Linked DNA regions of Mus musculus. The protein of the gene in region 1 binds, or shares a complex with, the protein of each later gene. Links are inferred from orthologs where the notes say so. Each region holds a gene or a part of one and is shown in the gene's direction. Other genes may lie near its edges.

Region 1 (4,645 bases):
AAGAAAAAAATAGCAAGTTTTTCAATTTTTGTAAAATATATATTCTTGTTTTAAAAGCTGAGAAAGTTATCTTATGCATAGAAAATGTTACTAAAACTCCTCTTCAGGCAGCAACACTTTTAGATGTTCAATAACTAACTCAATTAAGGCACAAACCAATTTTAGGACGGTTGACTTATTAATTTATACATGTTCGACATGGTTCGTAATAAAGAGCATCAATTTTTAGGAAAAAGTTTAAACTTCCCCTTCAAAAACACTTTTAAAAACGTCTTACTCTAGTCTTTTCAGGGGTGTGTGAGTTTGGACAGTTTTCTGGGGGCAAAAGAGAGATTCAAAGGCCCCCTTCTATTTACTGGTTCTGTTTCTCGCCCCTCAGTAAAACACTATCCAGCTTGTCACTTTCCTATTTTTCTTCTGTGGTCTCCAAGCCCCCAAGGCTTGATCCTTAATGCCCCTCAGATCCTGATCCTCCTGTGTATTAACTGAGAGGATTGAAAAGAAGGAAGGCAATCCCTTGGCATGGAGACATTAAAGTGACAGTGCTATTCAATGGGCACTTGATGCAGGATGATTTGGCGAAGCAGACTTCTTCACACTGGAGTCATTCACATCATGCCATCTCTTCGCAAACAAGCAGCTTCCTATCCGGCGAAGAAAAACACTGAGGCTGCTGGAAAGGAGAAACCAAACCTTCCCCAAAAGGTGTTTTCAGAGACGCTGTAGTAGTATTAGGCATGCAATCACACACTATGCAAATAGTCCGCGATTTCCTAAATGAGAGTGCAGCTGTTTGGCTTCCACATCCACCCTTTCTCAGTCTCTCTCCAATCTACCCACCTTCCTTTTGCAGAAAAGACATTTCTCTGCCACCGCTGGCCACCCCTGCCCACACCCCGATCTTATACAGAAGAGCACCGAAATGTCCTGCACCCTCCAAGCGATGAAGTGTTTCCTCGGGCAAGAGAAACAGCAGCACTAGAAATTATATAACTCTCGAATTTGGCTTGCCTAAGACATGGAGACTGGAGGGTCGGGGGTTGCGGGTCTGGCAGACGCTGCTGGGCATTTCACGTGCACGGAAGCGCGCCTGGCCTCCTCGCAGCACCATCCACCCCTAAAACACTGGCCGACCAGGGCTCTTCGGGGGAGCAGGGAAAAGGGATATTTCTAACTGAACCCTTTCCAAGCGGGGCTTGAGGGTGGACTATGGGGACTGAAGACTGTAGAGAGCAGGCTAGCCCGTGCTGCTGTGGCCGCGCCGGGGAGACGGGCTGGAGGCTCTGAGGAGGAACCTTAGAAACCACAGCCTTAACACACCGACCGGGCCGAAGGAACTACCAGGGCTCGGTTACCCCAGCCGCCCTGAGAAGAAGGCGCGCAGCAACAGGCCTGCGCCCGAACCGCCCCTGGTTCCCTTCAGGTTGGCCAGGCTGACAATTTGGCAGAGGACAAGGCAAGGCTGGCTAGGGGCGGGCCCCTGACCCTGAGCCTTCCTCGGAGCCAATGAGAGATCGCACTTCTGCGACGCCACGCCCAACCTCCGCCCGGCTGGAGGGCGCGGCTTTTGACTGGGTGGGGGAGTACCGGACTAAAGGTACGAGCTGTCAGACAGCTGCAAGTCCCGCCCCAGGCGCTCCGGCCACGCCCTCCTGTCAGTCACGTGAGGCGCTAAGATGGCGGCGTCCCAGCGACCAAGTTGGTCCGAGTCGAAGGTTGCTGGTGTTGTGCAGGAGGGAAATAGGGAAGCACCCCAGGTAGGCGGAAATCTAGGGTGGTGTGGGTCGCCTCCTCGGAGATGATGCACGTGAAGGATTTGAGCAAATAGAACCGAACCCGACTTTATGTAGAGTGTAATCAAATCTCTAGTTCCGAACAGCGTAGACCTGAAGTCTACGCCGATTAAATGCAGCTTGTTTCTCTTTCTCGAGGACCTTTCTTCAATTACAAATACTTTATCGCCTTACCCCACCCGGCCCGACCTCCAGTTCTCTCATTCTGTTTAAGTCTCCTGCATTTTATTGATTTGATGTGTTCTGACTTAACGCAAGGTTATGATGGCTTCTTGAATGCATTCACTTTTTTGATTACCCGAGAACCTAATATCCACCACGGCTGGACAAATCATGTTGAATAAAATTCTGAAGGTCAAATAATACACTTAAAGATACAACACACACACACTTTGCAGGCCATACGCCCACACAAATGCACTTAACGTGTATAAGGATGGTGATCTAATCAGTTGAGTGACTTTGAACTTCCTTAACTCTCAGATTAAACGTTGGTTGTGGCAAAAATCTTCATTTTCAGTTCTTGCTGAAAGACTTCCTTGGAATCTGATGATGGAGCACTTGTCAGGCCTGAAGCCCAGGCGTCTATACCAACAGCACAAAAATAAGTTAAAACAAAACAAAACAAAAAACTCTGGGCAAGTTAATAATCTATATCTCCTTAATTAAGGAGAGTGTAGTGAAACCCTTGCAAATGCCAGATGCCAAAAATATTTGCTGTTGCTTTTGATTATTTCAATATTGACTGTCCTGCAGCCATAATTGTGGGTACCCTTTTCCCCAAAGCTGTCTTAAAGGCCTGGAAATTTTCTGTGGGTGGTGAAGAGGGCTGTTCAGGGAATTGGATGAGAACAGAACAAAAATTTCTCTACGTTTTTTTGATTAGCCATGATGCTATTAATATCTGCCTTCATCGTACACTAGATGGATTGGTTAGAGAATCCTCCTTAGAAAATACTATTTCTTCTTCCATTTTTCCATTTGGATAGCAGAAGGAGGGGGGAGCAAAAGATGTAAGTCTAGTCCCCCCCAAAAAAATATAATTTGTAAAGTATTTTATGCCTGCTCTGCCCACCCCCCTTCTCAGCTATCTTAAAGAACTGACTTAAATGCTGTGTTGTATTAAGGCAGAAATACTGGTCTTTTGATCAATTGTATACCACCTTAAGAAGATCAAGGAACCCATTCTTTGTGTGTGTTGATTTCCTGGAGTCAGGCTCCATTTTTTTTTTCATTAATTTTAGGCTTATTATATGCTCATCACTTATAAATGTTAGCATGTCATCTGTAATGAACCTTTGACTTTATAACTTCTCATGGATTAATCTAGAAAATGTAGAGCAAAAAATAAAAAGCACTGAACTTTGAATCAGTAGACATCTCACTGATGAAATAAGTAAATATTTAAAACCAGAATTTTGGATTTGTAGGAAGTGTCCATATATCTTTGTTTGAATGAAATGGAATACTCGTAAGATACATAAAATGTCATAGTACCAAAGGATTTAACAAGTGTTTCCAGAGACCCAAAAGTCTTATGTATAGCCAGAAACTCAAAAAGGAATCTGGAATGGATTTTCTAATCTCTTGGTGAAACTCTTATGGTTCTTAATGTGGGCAACTATTGGCTTATCACATGGGACACAGAGACCTTACAAACCCTGAGTTCATTCCCTTTGTCCAGGCTTCACAGTATAACCCATAGCTATTTCTGACAAAGACCCTGCCTGCTTTCTACCCTAGGCCCTACTAGAAAACTGAATTGCAACATAAAGTCCAAGATAACTATGGTGCACTCCCTCTTCCCAGGCTGGAACAGTACCCAACTCTGACTTGTTGTTGTTGTTGTTGTTGTTGTTGTTTCTCCACTTTCTAAAGCACTTTCTGTTCTCTCCTACCTTCCCTTAGCCCCAAAATAATCTCCCAAACTGGCTTAGGCTTTCATGAGAGAAGACAAGTGTGGTGGTTTGAATAGGAATGGAACCCATAGACTTGCATGTTTGAATGCTTTGCTCATAGGGAGTAGCAATATTAGAAGGTGTGGTGTTGTTGGAGGAAGTTTGTCACTTGTGGGGGGGGGGGGGGGCTTTGAGGCTTCCTGTGCTCAAGCTAAACACACAGTCTCCTGCTGTCTTCAGATCAAGCCTGCCTACACCCCACCGTGTTTACTTACCTCCATGATGATAATGCCTCTGAAGCTGTCAGTCAGCACTAAACCTCTGAAACTGAAAGCCAGCCCCAATTAAATGTTTTTTTCTGTTAAGAGTTGCCTAGGTCGTGGTTTTGCTACACAGGAATAAAACCCTAAGACAAAGATAGATCTTTGTCAACATGCAGGTATTATTTCTGCTGTTACTTCAAGAGGATTAAAAAAGCTGGGCCTTCTACTCTTGGAATGAACAGAGGAAGCTATGCTGAACGAAAACAAAATCACTATCTCAGTAGCAAGACAAGCTTTCTGAAACTCAGTTTTCTAATCTATTGTCTTAATCATTGTTCTAATGCTGTGAAAAGACGCCATGACCACAGCAACTCTTATAATAGAGAACATTTAGTTCAAGACTTGCTCATAGCTTCACAGGGTTAGTCCATTATCATTTTAACAGCCCTGGAACTGAAACAGTATATCCTGATCCACAGGCAGCAGAGGCAGGCAGATTGACAGACAGACAGACAAAGAGACAGAGAAGCACCTGACCTGGCATAGGTTTTTGAATCTCAAAGGCCATGGATGCTCAGTGAAATACTTCCTCAGACAAAGCCACAACTCCCAATCCTTCTAAATCCCCATATAATGCCAGTGCTCCTCCCTGATAACTAAGCATCCAAATATATGAGCCTATGGGGGGGCC
Region 2 (3,955 bases), on another chromosome or scaffold:
GTCCAAGCCCTCAGACCAATTCTAAGCCTTCTTCAGTATTGCTTTCCCTCAATCCTGTCTTTCCATCTTTGCAGTGGGAGTGATGCTGCGTCCATCCAGACCAGAGCTACGTTAAGTGAAGATAAGAAGTACTTCATACTCAATGGCTCCAAGGTACAGCCATGCCTTCTTGCCCTCTCAGTCTTTCCCGCCTCTGTGTCTTCCTTCTGCACACCAGACACCAAGAGATCTGCACGTCACCCACGGTGTGTGGCACTTCTTTCTCAGAACAGCCTGAGGCAGAGCGGAGTGGCTAGCCCAAGTCCCTCAAGTGGCAAAGGCAGTATTGGAGCAAGGTGGTCTTATCCGCAGTCTCCTCGATTCTGCACACAGCTGCCTCTGTGTGTTTATTTTCAATCTCTAGTCCACAAGATTTCAAAGAGGCAAAGTATAGTGCAGTGCACTTGCATGGCTCACGGCTGGTCGTGTTTCTGTTGTCTTCACCACCTCTGTGTGCTATCTGAGATTTAATCAAGGATTGCTTAAAGATAGAGCACCATTAGCAAATGGGACAGAGGATAGTAATAGCTCCTTATCTAGTTAGCCTTCAGCTTTCCCTGCTCACCGCCTACCCTCTGCCCTTGATCACTTTGTTTTGCTTGAATCAAAAAGTAAATGAATTCCCATCCATTGTGATTTTTGAGCACCCTTTCTTTTTCCTCATCCCCCATTTCACTTGTTCAGTTGATAAGTACAGTGTATGAAGTCTGTGTGTCTGGCGGCCTGAAACTTAGTGTTGGATAGAGCTGAGGGGTCTCCAAGGATCGTTGTTTTTCTTCAGGTTTGGATCACCAATGGAGGACTGGCCAATATTTTTACTGTGTTTGCAAAAACCGAGGTGGTCGATTCTGATGGTTCGAAAACAGACAAAATGACCGCATTCATAGTAGAAAGAGACTTCGGCGGAATCACTAATGGGAAACCTGAAGATAAATTAGGCATTCGAGGCTCCAACAGTAAGTGTGGCAGACGTGCTTCTGTATGAGTGCGGCAGAGACTTGAAAGACAGGCCCTGTCCCTGTGACCTACGAAGGTGAAAGGGCACCTCATTGCTCATGGGTTTAGTTTAGCAATTAGCAACATCAAATTAAGAGTGCAGCCACAACCTGTGCTGCTTGGTACAGTTGGCACTGTTGACCCTAGGTGAGTGAGGGCAGCTGAAATCCCAGCCTCAGTAGGGGCAGGCATGCATGTCACACAACTGCAGCTGTCTTGGGCACACATCCTGTGGCAGGCCACCACATCTTTCTTTCCTAGAATCCTTTTCCTTTCTTCCTACTGTCCAGATCCACCTTTCATCCCTTGGTCAGCCCTTGCTTCAGTGGAAGCTGGTGTCCTGTTTGTTTCCTAAGCTCACCCATCTGGCCGGCCATAGTGTTCTTATACTAACTAGTCTCTTGGTATAAAGTGGCATGTCAGGCCCACAGCTGTGCAGCCTGCGTTTCTGCAGCTCGTTCAGCAGCGTCATTTACCTGCTGACAACTGGGAGGATGGAGGCCCAGCAGCATGCAGACCCCAAAAGATGGCTCATGAATATGAGATGAAGTCAAAGAGGAAGGCAGGTGTGCCCCATACCCAGTACACTTTGAAAGAGTGACTGGGTCCTCTAGCCCACATACCCAACCCCTAAATATGACCAGCAGACAGATCATGTTTCATGGCATTCCACCTCGACAGGTATCACACTTGGCCCTAGTGTCTCTTGAACCCTAACCTTCCTCATCTTGAGTGTCTCTGGTTCAGCATGCCAGGACTTGCATTGTTTGTGCATTAGAATATCCAGGCAGTGCTAGAGGGAATGCTGTGCAAAGGGAACTGTTCAGCCCCTGCCTAGTCCTAGGCACCTTGCTTTCTCATTGTTTAACGCACACTGACCAATAGAGTCAGCCTTTCTTACAGGATTGCTGGTGGTCTCTGGCTACAGTGTCCCTGTCAGTCAGACACAGTAGGATTTAGCTTGCAGCAGTGGAATCTTATTTCTTATGGTTTGGGGATGCCTGCTTCAGTCTGAAGGATGTTGGTGAATTGGGTTAGGTTGTGTGTCTGTACACGTCGGGTCGTCTACATTCCGTCTGTTAACTCCCTACCCTAAGCTGGGAAGATGCTGCTCTATGGAACATGAGTGTGACTCTGTTAATAAGAATCCCATTTATTCTAAGGGCTGAGGCACTGCTGGTGCTCTCCCTTGCTTTCCTGGTTTTTTGGCTATTTTGTTCCTTTCAGCTACTGTTACATGTTACCTTAGAAGAGTCTGTCATGGACTTTCAAAAGATGGCAGCCCCCTTCAGCTCCATCCTTCTCTGTACTGAGCTGATATTTCATCATAGTACTGACCATGCTGACATGTCCTCGTGTCTGTGGTGGCAGGAACGTGGTCTATCTTCACTGTTCTTTAGGATGCTAAATGAGTGCATTAGCCAGTCAGCCACGGGCCTGTGGTCAAGAGCAGAGCAGTTTGAATTTGTTTGTCACGCTCTTTCAATTCCTGTTGTTTTAGCATGTGAGGTCCATTTTGAAAATACCAGAGTGCCTGTGGAAAATGTCCTTGGAGAAGTTGGAGGGGGCTTTAAGGTAAGTTGCAGGCAGTCCCATGTAAGTGCTGTGCTGTTTCACAAGAGTCTCATGTTCTGCCCTGACCTTTTTCCTAGCAGGCTAGCCTGTGGCCTTGTGTAGCTCTTGGGCATAGGAATTCAGCAACACAAAGGCTGAAAAAATGGCTTGCTCTTAGAGGAGGGAGTCTGGTTAGGATGAGGAGTCTTTATTCCCCTTGGAGATCTCCTTCATCTTGATCGAGGAATGGGGTTCCTCTCTCTAGCAAGTGTGAAAAACAGGCTAGTGGGCTTGAGAAGTTCAGGTTTCAAGAACCCTTAACGTAAGTCTCTGCCCTAATAGTCAGCTTTATATTTTAAAGATTCATTTTTTCTGGGCAGAATAGAGTCTCACCAAGTAGCTCTGACGAGCCTGGCACTCACTATGTAGACCGCACTGGCCAAGGACTCACCTGCCCCTCACGCCCCAAGCCTGGGATTAAGCGCATATGCCACCCTAATCAGCCAGATTCATTTCTCTCTACTTTACGTATATGCATAGGTGTCTCAATTTATGTGTGTGAATTGCATGTGTGCCTGGTACCCGCAGAGGCCAGAGAAGGCTTCTGATCCTCTGGAGCTGGAGTTACAGGCTGTTCGTGAGCCTCCGTGGGAGCGAGGAACAGCCTAAGTGCTCTGTAAGAGCGCAGGTGGCCGTAACCGCTGAGCCATCTTTCCAGCCCCATCTTTATATGTTATGGAGAAATAGTTTACATGACATTTAACTTAAACACATCTCTGTCACTCAGTATTTCATTCTTTTGAATGGGTAGATGATGTTCTCCTGTGTGGGTAAACCACGTACTCATTAAGCTAAATTGTTACTTTGGGGCTAGTGTCAGTAACAGAGTTGTGAACTTTCATCCTCAAATTTTTGTTTGAGAAATATGTTCTCAAGCCCTTTGAGTGTAAATGTAGTAATAGAATTGCTAGCCTGTAATAGAATGGCACTTTCTTGAAGAACTTTTTCCATAGTGGTTATAGTGTATGAAGTTCTACATCTTCACTAACACTTGGAAGCTGTCTGTGTTTAAAATTAAGCCTGAGGCTTCCCTCGGTTTCTTTAGTTGGGCTCTCTGGAGGTGAGGAGAACCCATGTGACTCGGGATGAGGTAGCACAGCTTGCAGCTGGAGCTGTGTTCCTGTGTGGCTCCCAGTGTTCACTGTATTGGGTCAGAATACAGGGTGAGGAAAGAGGCAGGGGCCAGCAGAGCCACTGTCACAGGCACCTGGCAGTAGTTACCAGGGCCACCTCTGTATACAGGCTTGCCTGCCGTGAGTGTGCTGGCTGTAGCCTGGAGAAAGTCATGACACCGCACTGAGCCACA
Region 3 (3,955 bases), on another chromosome or scaffold:
CCCCAGCACTTGGGAGGCAGAGGCAGGCGGATTTCGGAGTTCGAGGCCAGTCTGGTCTACAAAGTAAGTTCCAGGACAGCCAGGGCTACACAGAGAAACCCTGTCTCAAAAAACAAAAAACAAACAAACAAAAAGCTAGATGTCATGGCATTCCTAAAGTGAGGGAGAAGACTACTGAAAAGTTGTCCTCTGGCCTGCACAAAAGTATTGTAGCATGTGAACCTGAGTATACACACAAAATAAACAGGCAAGTCTTTCAAAAAAAAAAAAAAAATGAAGAGGCTGGAGAGATGGCTCAGTGGGTAAGAACACTGAGTGCTCTTCTGAAGGTCCTGAGTTCAAACCTCAGCAACCACATGGTGGCTCATAACCATCCATAACGAGATCTGACTTCCTCTTCTGGAGAGTCTGAAGATAGCTACAGTGTACTTACATATAATAATAAATAGATCTTTAAAAAAAAATGAAGAAGAAAAACTCCCAGGTATGAGGCAGTGGAATGATTACTGTATGAAGGTGCTTGCTGAAGCCTAGAAACCAAGCTCTATGCTGAGACCCACATGGAAGAGAGAACCAGTTCTCCAAGCTATCCTCAGACCTCCACACAAGGGCACGCACACGCATACATGCATGTGCATGCACACATGTGCACGCTCACACACACACACACATGCACACTAAATCAGTAAATATAGTGGAAAGATTCCCAAGCATGATAGCTCACACCTGTAGTCTCAGCACTGGGGAAACAGAGGCAGGAGGATCAGGAGCTTAAGGCCACCCTTGGCTACCTGGGCAATATGATATTCTATTTTTGAAAATAACAAAATCAGACAGAAGTAACCCTTGGAGCTTGGTGGACTAGGCTCTTCTGTCTGAACTGTGCTCTTTGTCATAGTGACGCCCTGTCTCATGGAAGGTATGCTGCAGGCTAATGCTGTCTCAATCCCTCTCAACTAGGTGTGGTTGAATCTACAGAGACATGAGCTGGGTGCAGGTCAACTTGCTGGTGCGAAGCCTCTCTAGGGGCTGGGGAGGCCTCTGCAGGCCTGCCCTTTCAGGAACTCCCTTTGCTCAGGTAACCACAGGCTGGGCATTTGTGGGTGGAGAGGGAACGGCCTGGCTTTACTCTCACCCTCTCAGGATCAGGCCACAGAAACTGAAGGTGGCCCTTGTCCTGCCTGTCCTAGTTGTGGTCCTGTGTTAGCTTGCCATCGCAGTACTAAAGTACTATGACCATGGCCAAAAGCAATTTACATTAGAAAGAGTGTCTTGGTTTACAGTTCCAAGGGTAGAGTCCCTTATGGCTGTTTGTGGCCAGAGTAGAAACTGGAGATCACATCTCAAGCATGTAGGAAGGAGAACAACCTGTAAATGAGAAGCCGGTATAAACCTGAAGGTTCTGTACCCTCCCTGTGCACTGCCACCAGCTGGGCCAAGTATTCAAATACGAGAGCCTTTGAGGGACATTTCTCACTCAGACCATGACAATCTGCCTCTCTCCTGGCCACATAGACTCCTGACACTATCATGATGCAAAATGCATTTCATCCAATTTCTAATGTTCCTATGGTCTGTCACAGTGTCAATACCATTTAAAAGTCCAAAGTCTATTCTGAGACTCGTGCAATCTCGCAACTGTGACATTCTACGTAGAAGTAAATCACACTCTTCCATCAGGGAATGACACATTCCATCCTTCCATTCCAAAAGGGAGGAATGAAGCCAAAATGAAGAAATACTGAACCCCAAACAAGACTGAAAACCCAGCAGTGCAAACAGGAAGCCCTGTAGCTCCAATGTGCTCAGACAGCCCCACTCCTCTAGCTCAGCTGCCCTAAGCCATACCCCACCCCAGACTGGCTCCAGTCCCTGTGCGGCTGTCCTTGGCAGACATCTCATAGCTCTGACATCACCAACATCTTGAGGTCTGCTCAGCAGCCCAAGCTTCACTCTCACAGATTGATGCAGTGGTATCCTGGGACCTCCTACCTTCTCAGGATTCTTGCTTCCTTCCTGCCTTCAAAGCCAGTACCATACAACACTGCCAGATTAGCTCATGGTACTTCATCACAGTAACAGGGAAGCACTAGTACAGAAGTTGGTGTCCACAAATAGGGTGGTTGCTATAAAGACCCTGACTGTGTTATTTTGGGAAGGTGGAAGACTTTGGAAATTTGGTCTAACCAAGCAAGTGAATGCTGTAAGCAGAGTTTGACAGGTCTGTGGGGAAAATTCTCATTCAAACCACAACAATGTGGTCCTGGCAATGCTTCTTGATGTTTTCTTCGCGTGTGTGTATGCGTGTGTATGCACCATATGTAATCTCATATGGCCTTAGAACATGTATGTGTGGCTCAAGCAAGTATTGAGCTCTCAATTCTCCTGCCTTAGCTTCCTTGGGGTTGGGATTTCAGGTGTGTACTACCATGTGGCATTGTACTTTAATGTACTATATCATGATATCTAAGCTACGGTTAGCAGTAACAGTATCAAAGCGCCTAAAAGGTCCTCCATGATGTCCAGGGTACCTCTGCCAAGAAACAGAAAACAAAAAGCAGGCACCATCCTTTCTCCCAGGTGTCCCTCCAGGCTCTACGAGGCCTTCACTGTAGTGCAGCTACACACAAGGATGAGCCGTGGTTGGTTCCTCGACCCCCGGAGCCCCAGAGGAAGCCCATCAAGGTTCCAGCAATGCATGAAGACTCGTTCAAGCCATCAGGAAACAGGGAGCGGGACAAGGCAAGCTTCCTGAACGCAGTGCGCAGCTTTGGGGCGCACAATGTGCGCAAGCGCGGCCACGTGGACTTCATCTACCTAGCACTGCGCAAGATGCCAGAGTTTGGTGTGGAGCGGGACTTGTCAGTATACAACCTGCTGCTGGATGTTTTCCCCAAGGAGGTCTTCCGGCCCCGCAACGTTATCCAGCGCATCTTCGTCCACTACCCACGGCAGCAGGAATGTGGGGTCGCAGTCCTGGAGCAGATGGAACGACACGGTGAGGAATGTGGGCCCAGCCTTCCTTCGCATCCTTCTCCACTCACCTTTCTCAGTCTCCCAAGTCCTTCGCCTGCCCCTCCCCTCTCCCCTCCCTCTTCCAATTATTAGGCTTGGGCTGTAGAAAAGTTGGAGGAGGACTTACCTGGGATGTCTCCAGGCTGATCCCCTGTATCTAAACCTCGGGTGCTTCCCTGTCACCTCAGCTCCTAGGCAGTGAGGGGAGACAGGGCTTCAAGCTCATCCTTCACTCCGTATGGTTCTGGGTTTTTTTTTTTTTTTTTTTAAAGAATTCTTTTTTTTTTTTTTTTTTTTTTTTTAAGATTTATTTATTTATTATATGTAAGTACACTGTAGCTGTCTTCAGACGCTCCAGAAGAGGGCGTCAGATCTTGTTACAGATGGTTGTGAGCCACCATGTGGTTGCTGGGATTTGAACTTTGGACCTTCTGAAGAACAGTCGGGTGCTCTTACCCACTGAGCCATCTCACCAGCCCGTTTCTGGGGTTTTTTGTTGTTGGTTGGTTGGTTTGGTTTTGGTTTTTTTGTTTTTATGATTTATTTTTAATTATATGTATGCTATGGCTGGAGAGATGGCTCAGCAGTTAAGAGCACTGACTGCTCTTCCAAAGGTCCTGAGTTCAAATCCTAGCACTCACATGGTGGTTCACAACCATCCATAATGGGATCTGATGTCCTATTCTTGTGTGTCTGGAGATAGGTACAATGTACTCACATAAATATAATAAATCTTTTTTAGAAAAATTATATGTATGCTATGTGTTAGTGGGTATGTGAATTCTGGTGCCCAAGGAGGCCAGAAAAGGGTGGTGGATGCCCTGGAATTCGAGTTAAAAGTGGTGCAGTGCATACTCCTAATTGCTGAGCTATTTCTTTCTCCAGCCCTCTTTCCCCAACACACACACTTTACATGGTCTCATGTAGCCTAGGCTGCCCT
Region 4 (4,737 bases), on another chromosome or scaffold:
TCAGTTTCCTTATGGTAGAATGGTAGCAGCTGGACAGTAAATGCCTTTATTCTCAGCACTCAGAAGGCAGAGGCAGAGGCAGGGGGATCTCCATGAGTTCGAGGCCAGCATGGTCTACAGAGATAATTCAAGGACAGGCAAAGCTACACCAAGAATCCCTGCCTTGAAAAAACAAAAAACCAGCAGGGCAGTGGTGGCACACGCCTTTAATCCCAGCACTCGGGAGGCAGAGACAGGCGGATTTCTGAGTTCGAGGCCAGCCTGGTCTACAGAGTGAGTTCCAGGACAGCCAGGACTATACAGAGAAACCCTGTCTCGAAAAAAACAAAACACAAAGATCTATTCCACAGCCTGGTAAAGTACTTGGTCAAAAGCTATGACTCAGGAGCTCACAGGCACTATGGGGAAACCTACTAGTGTTCTTTTTGTTAAATGGAAATCTTGTCAAATTGCCTTCTAAATATTTATGTTTATATCCATAGATTAATGCCACTCTCAAGCCTGGTAAGAAAAGTTTCTCTTTGTAGTGGCAGTGGTCAATGCAGACGCATACCTGGACAAAGTGCTAAGAATAAGTGCCCTTTATCAACCCTGTCCAGGCTCAGGGGACAGAAAGAATGTAAGAGCCAGAGGACGGGGAGGAGCGTGGCGAATGAAATGCTGTCTTCTGGACATTATATGGCTGTTGCCTGCATGAATTCAGCAACTGTGGTTCCCTGCACAAGATCAAGTCAGTTAACATTCCAGCATGGGTGATATGTTGCCCATCACTTGGGGTGTGTTAGTGTGTAGCACTAACTGGACTTAGTGAGGTATTAAAATAAGAATTTTAAAAAGGACATGAAAATGGAAGAGGGATGTGTGAGTAGGTGTTCCCCAGAGGGAGCACAGGAAGGTTGGGGGTGAATATGATCAGATACACTGTACACATGTAATTGCAAAGGAATAAAAAAATTAAAAAGATAAGACTCACATATCTAAGGTTACACACACTTAACATGGGCTTCTGGAACAGTCCACGAAATCTAAAAGGAGTGGGGCAGAGACACCCAAGCTATTTAAGCCCAGTGTCAAGTTTGAGTGATTTCTGCTCAACCACGAATTTGTGTATAGGAGGCAGAAAGAATGTCATCACCACAACGAAACCACACAAACTTATCTTTGGCCCTAACAGCAAAATCTGTTAGCGGAACAAAGTCCCATTGGATCCTTGATCCTTTCAGCAAACAGCCTATTACTACCTGGGTCCCCATTGCTGCAGGGGCTCACTTTTGAGGCCTGATCTGGCGAGGAACTGTCATGAATTTCAGTGATCCTCACCAAAACATCCCAAGCAACAGGCAATGCCCCAGTTAAAGTGGCTTCAAGGGCTCCGAGAAAGATTTGCTGAAGGTCAGACGACTGAGAACCTGCCTTTGGTATATTAGAAGAGACAGCCAAAGGTGACAGGGCTGGGGAGGCGAAACAGCAGGTCAGAGGGCCGAGGCTGGAGTTCAAGCCAGGTCACCAGCCCCGAGGGCCCGAGAAGAAACTCAGGCCCGAACTTTCAGACTCTGAACACGTTTCCTACTCGGAAGGTTTTTTGGGGGCCCCCTCCCTGCGCACCCCACTCAGGACCCCGCTCAGGACTCGCGTCTCCTGGTTCCCGGACAGTCGTTACCGCGGTCTAGGGCAGCAAGGGCTCTGCTCCACCACCGCGAGCCTCCCGGGCGCCGCCTACCTGCCGCGGGGCAGTCAGGGTCCCATCCATGTCGAAGAGACAGAGAGTGGCCATTTCTCCAGTCAGAAACCTCGACCGCACCAGGAACTCTACCCGGAACTCTACCCGGAACTTCCGGGTCCGCTCCGAGCCCTGGAGTTCCAAGGCACCATGGGAAGATTCCCTAATGGTTCACAGAACACCGGTGGCGGTTACAAAATTTGAACTACAGTTCCCAAGCCATAGTAATTTTTTTTTTTTTTTTTGAATTAGCGCATGCGGGTTTTTAACCGCCCGCGCATGCGCCCTTCAACTTTCCGGTGACAAGTACAGCGTGCGTCCTGTAGCAGGCGGCGGGCTCATGGTAGGAATGTCAGGAGGGAACGCGCTCCCCGTCCCCGGTCGGGTCTAGGACTGGCAGGCAGGACGCCTGGGCTGACCATTCGGGAAACCGGCCAGTGGAAGGCCAGAGTCTATTAGCTTGGGCTGTTTTCCTGCTTTGTCCCGGGCCCTTGGGTCACGTGGACGGTCTGCGTCGCTGCCACTTCGTACGTACACACCCGGTTCAGAGCTTAAGAGCCGTGTCTCCCTCAGCGTATTCTGAGGTTTTCTTTGGAAGGGTGAAGAAGGATGCACAGCTAGTGTCCTCTTGACTCCAAAGCCCAGAATCTGCTCACTCCAGAGAACCACAGGCAGTGTGTTGAGGGCCTCCGTGCCTCACGTCTCTGCTTCCTTCCCAGACAGGTTAATGATACAAAGAGGTTCTCTGGCCGCGCAAGGCACTCGGAGAACTGCAGAGGTCCTGTGATAAGTACCCCACGGCTTTGTTGTGTGGGGTTCTGACACCGATTGATTTACCCCTTAAGGAAGGGCGGTCCTTCAAGTCCGCTGTTGCCCGGTCTCTAGTGAATAGCTGAAACGACAGGTTTTCTATGTTCATTTAGACCTGCCTAGGAGGAAGGGCCCGTCCGAGCTCCAGACTGCCCGTGTTTCCCTGTACTTGGGGCTGTGAGGTGGGGTGGGGGAGGGCTTAGGTTCTTAAAAATGTTTTTGTTGTTTTGTTTTAATCTTGTGTGTTTAGTTTGTGTGCATATGCTTGTGCTTTGGCATACGGGGCTCCAGGACGTACTGCGTGAGTAATTTCTCTTCCTTCACCGTGTTGGCCTGAGGGATCAAATTCAAGTTACCCGGTTTGGTACCAAGCACCTGTACTAGATGGGCTATCTCACTAACTGCGACTAGGGTTTTGTTTGTTTAGTTGTAAAAATGGGAGAAGGTACCTATTTAGAATAGAATTCCACCAAAAAAAAAAAAAAATTAAGTGTCTGGCTTTATCACTTTCCTCTGGAAGTCATGGTGACTTTCCAGGAGCGGTTGAAGCCCTTCTGGGAGATGCTTTGTCTTGTTCATTGTGTGATTAGCATGGGTGACTTCTGAAATGAACCTCTCTCTTCCAGGCTTTCCTCCTTCGAGTCGTGCCAAGGTTGCAGGGGCCCACTGCATGGAGGAGGCCTCTACAGGGACTATGGTGCTGCTCTGGGCAGGGGGATTCCAAAAGGTGGGTGGGGAGCAGGTCTCCCCACTCACGGGAGAAGTCACCAGGCACCGAGACCGAAACATTCCATACAATCTACCGGTTCCGAGCCATCCGAGCAATTGGGTTCCTCTCGCGGCTGAAGTTGGCCCAGACAGCTGTGACTGTGGTGGCCCTGCCCCCGGGCTTCTATTGCTACTCACAAGGCCTCATGACCCTCAGTTCACTGTGCCTTCTGGGTGGGGTCGCCAGCTTTGCCCTGGCCATGCTCTGTTGGATGAGCCACTTCTTCCGGAGACTGGTGGGCATCCTGTATGTGAACGAGTCGGGCACCCTGCTCCGAGTGGCCCACCTGACCTTCTGGGGCTGGCGGCAGGACACGTACTGTGCCGTGTCAGACATGATACCCCTGTCAGAATCCCAGGAACGGGTTCAGGATGTGTTTGTACGCATCCAGCAGTACAGTGGCAAGCAGACCTTCTACCTCACCTTACGCTATGGCCGAATCCTGGACAGGGAACGGTTCGCACAAGTGTTCGGAACTCTGGCCACACTGAAGAACAGCAAGTAGGCCTCTCATAGCCCTCGTTACACTTGGATTTTAGACAGAAGGCCTAGGACATGGATGAGACAAAGCTAATACCAGGGACTGGGCTGGTGCTCACTTTGTAGAATGCTTGTTTAGTGTGCAGGATGTGAAGCCCTGGGTTCAGACCCTAGCACTGCATAGAACAAGGCATGGCTATGCCTGCCTGTACTCAGAACTGGTGACACAGGCAGGTGGAGAAAAAGTTCAAGGTTGTTTTGGCCCAAAAAGGAAGCTTTAGGAAAAAGCCCTTAGTGGAACATAGGACATCCCATCATATAGTGGCGAGAAGTTTCTGTGAAGAGGCAGTTGTTGGAGGAGTGCTATGCCAAGGTCACTAAGGCAGACCGCTGCTGTAAAGCTGGGAGGCAGGAGGGTTGGCAGAGGAGCACAGGATGTGGGGTCTGGGGACTTGGGTTCTGCTGAGCCTTAGCTCCTTGACAAGTTTCTGAACCTTGAATTGCATTGTGAGATGGAAAACCCTTCTCATGGGAACGGGTATGGCTAGGACTTTGTGACAGAGCTCTTGCCTAGCATGTATAAGGTCCTAAGTTCCATCCCCAGCACCACAGAACAGGCAAAACCAGTGAATACTGAGTGCTGTATAAGGTACACAGCCCAGAGCTTACAACATAGAGCAAGGCTTCTAGGGTGCCAATGGGGCCCAGCACTTACTCATGCTCACCAGCTGGACGGCCATGGCTAAAGCCCAGAGTGAACTTATTTTTTCCCATCAGCAAGTCACTGTACACCAACAGAGGTAGGGACAGCACCCCTGAGACTACATTGATCCCTAGGAGGTCCGGGGGTGCTCACACTTGAGAGCTTTGTAGTGTCATCGCAGCAGAGGGACTGTGTCCAAGCAAAAATTCATCATCTAAAGGACAGTGCATATGCTTTTCATAATAACAGCAAACA

The links.
Region 2: Tmem126b (region 1) and Acad9 share a complex: the UniProt entries of both Homo sapiens proteins name them as parts of the mitochondrial complex. The link is inferred for Mus musculus from reciprocal best matches to the Homo sapiens genes TMEM126B and ACAD9.
Region 3: Tmem126b (region 1) and Ecsit share a complex: the UniProt entries of both Homo sapiens proteins name them as parts of the mitochondrial complex. The link is inferred for Mus musculus from reciprocal best matches to the Homo sapiens genes TMEM126B and ECSIT.
Region 4: Tmem126b (region 1) and Tmem186 share a complex: the UniProt entries of both Homo sapiens proteins name them as parts of the mitochondrial complex. The link is inferred for Mus musculus from reciprocal best matches to the Homo sapiens genes TMEM126B and TMEM186.

The regions. Positions count from the first base shown.
Region 1 is NC_000073.6:90,473,007-90,477,651, reverse strand, and holds the start of Tmem126b (complex I assembly factor TMEM126B, mitochondrial), read left to right. Parts: upstream 1-1,656; 5' UTR 1,657-1,676; coding exon 1,677-1,757; intron 1,758-4,645. Other genes in the region: Dlg2 (disks large homolog 2), read right to left, coding at 841-862. UniProt on the Homo sapiens protein: As part of the MCIA complex, involved in the assembly of the mitochondrial complex I. Participates in constructing the membrane arm of complex I.
Region 2 is NC_000069.6:36,075,902-36,079,856, forward strand, and holds part of Acad9 (complex I assembly factor ACAD9, mitochondrial), read left to right. Parts: intron 1-74; coding exon 75-153; intron 154-820; coding exon 821-995; intron 996-2,536; coding exon 2,537-2,610; intron 2,611-3,955. UniProt on the Homo sapiens protein: As part of the MCIA complex, primarily participates in the assembly of the mitochondrial complex I and therefore plays a role in oxidative phosphorylation.
Region 3 is NC_000075.6:22,075,271-22,079,225, reverse strand, and holds part of Ecsit (evolutionarily conserved signaling intermediate in Toll pathway, mitochondrial precursor), read left to right. Parts: intron 1-960; 5' UTR 961-982; coding exon 983-1,078; intron 1,079-2,580; coding exon 2,581-2,998; intron 2,999-3,142; exon of another isoform or gene 3,143-3,206; intron 3,207-3,955.
Region 4 is NC_000082.6:8,634,812-8,639,548, reverse strand, and holds the start of Tmem186 (transmembrane protein 186), read left to right. Parts: upstream 1-1,837; 5' UTR 1,838-2,060; coding exon 2,061-2,063; exon of another isoform or gene 2,064-2,247; intron 2,248-3,156; coding exon 3,157-3,804; 3' UTR 3,805-4,737. Other genes in the region: Pmm2 (phosphomannomutase 2), read right to left, coding at 1,721-1,774. UniProt on the Homo sapiens protein: As part of the MCIA complex, required for efficient assembly of the mitochondrial complex I.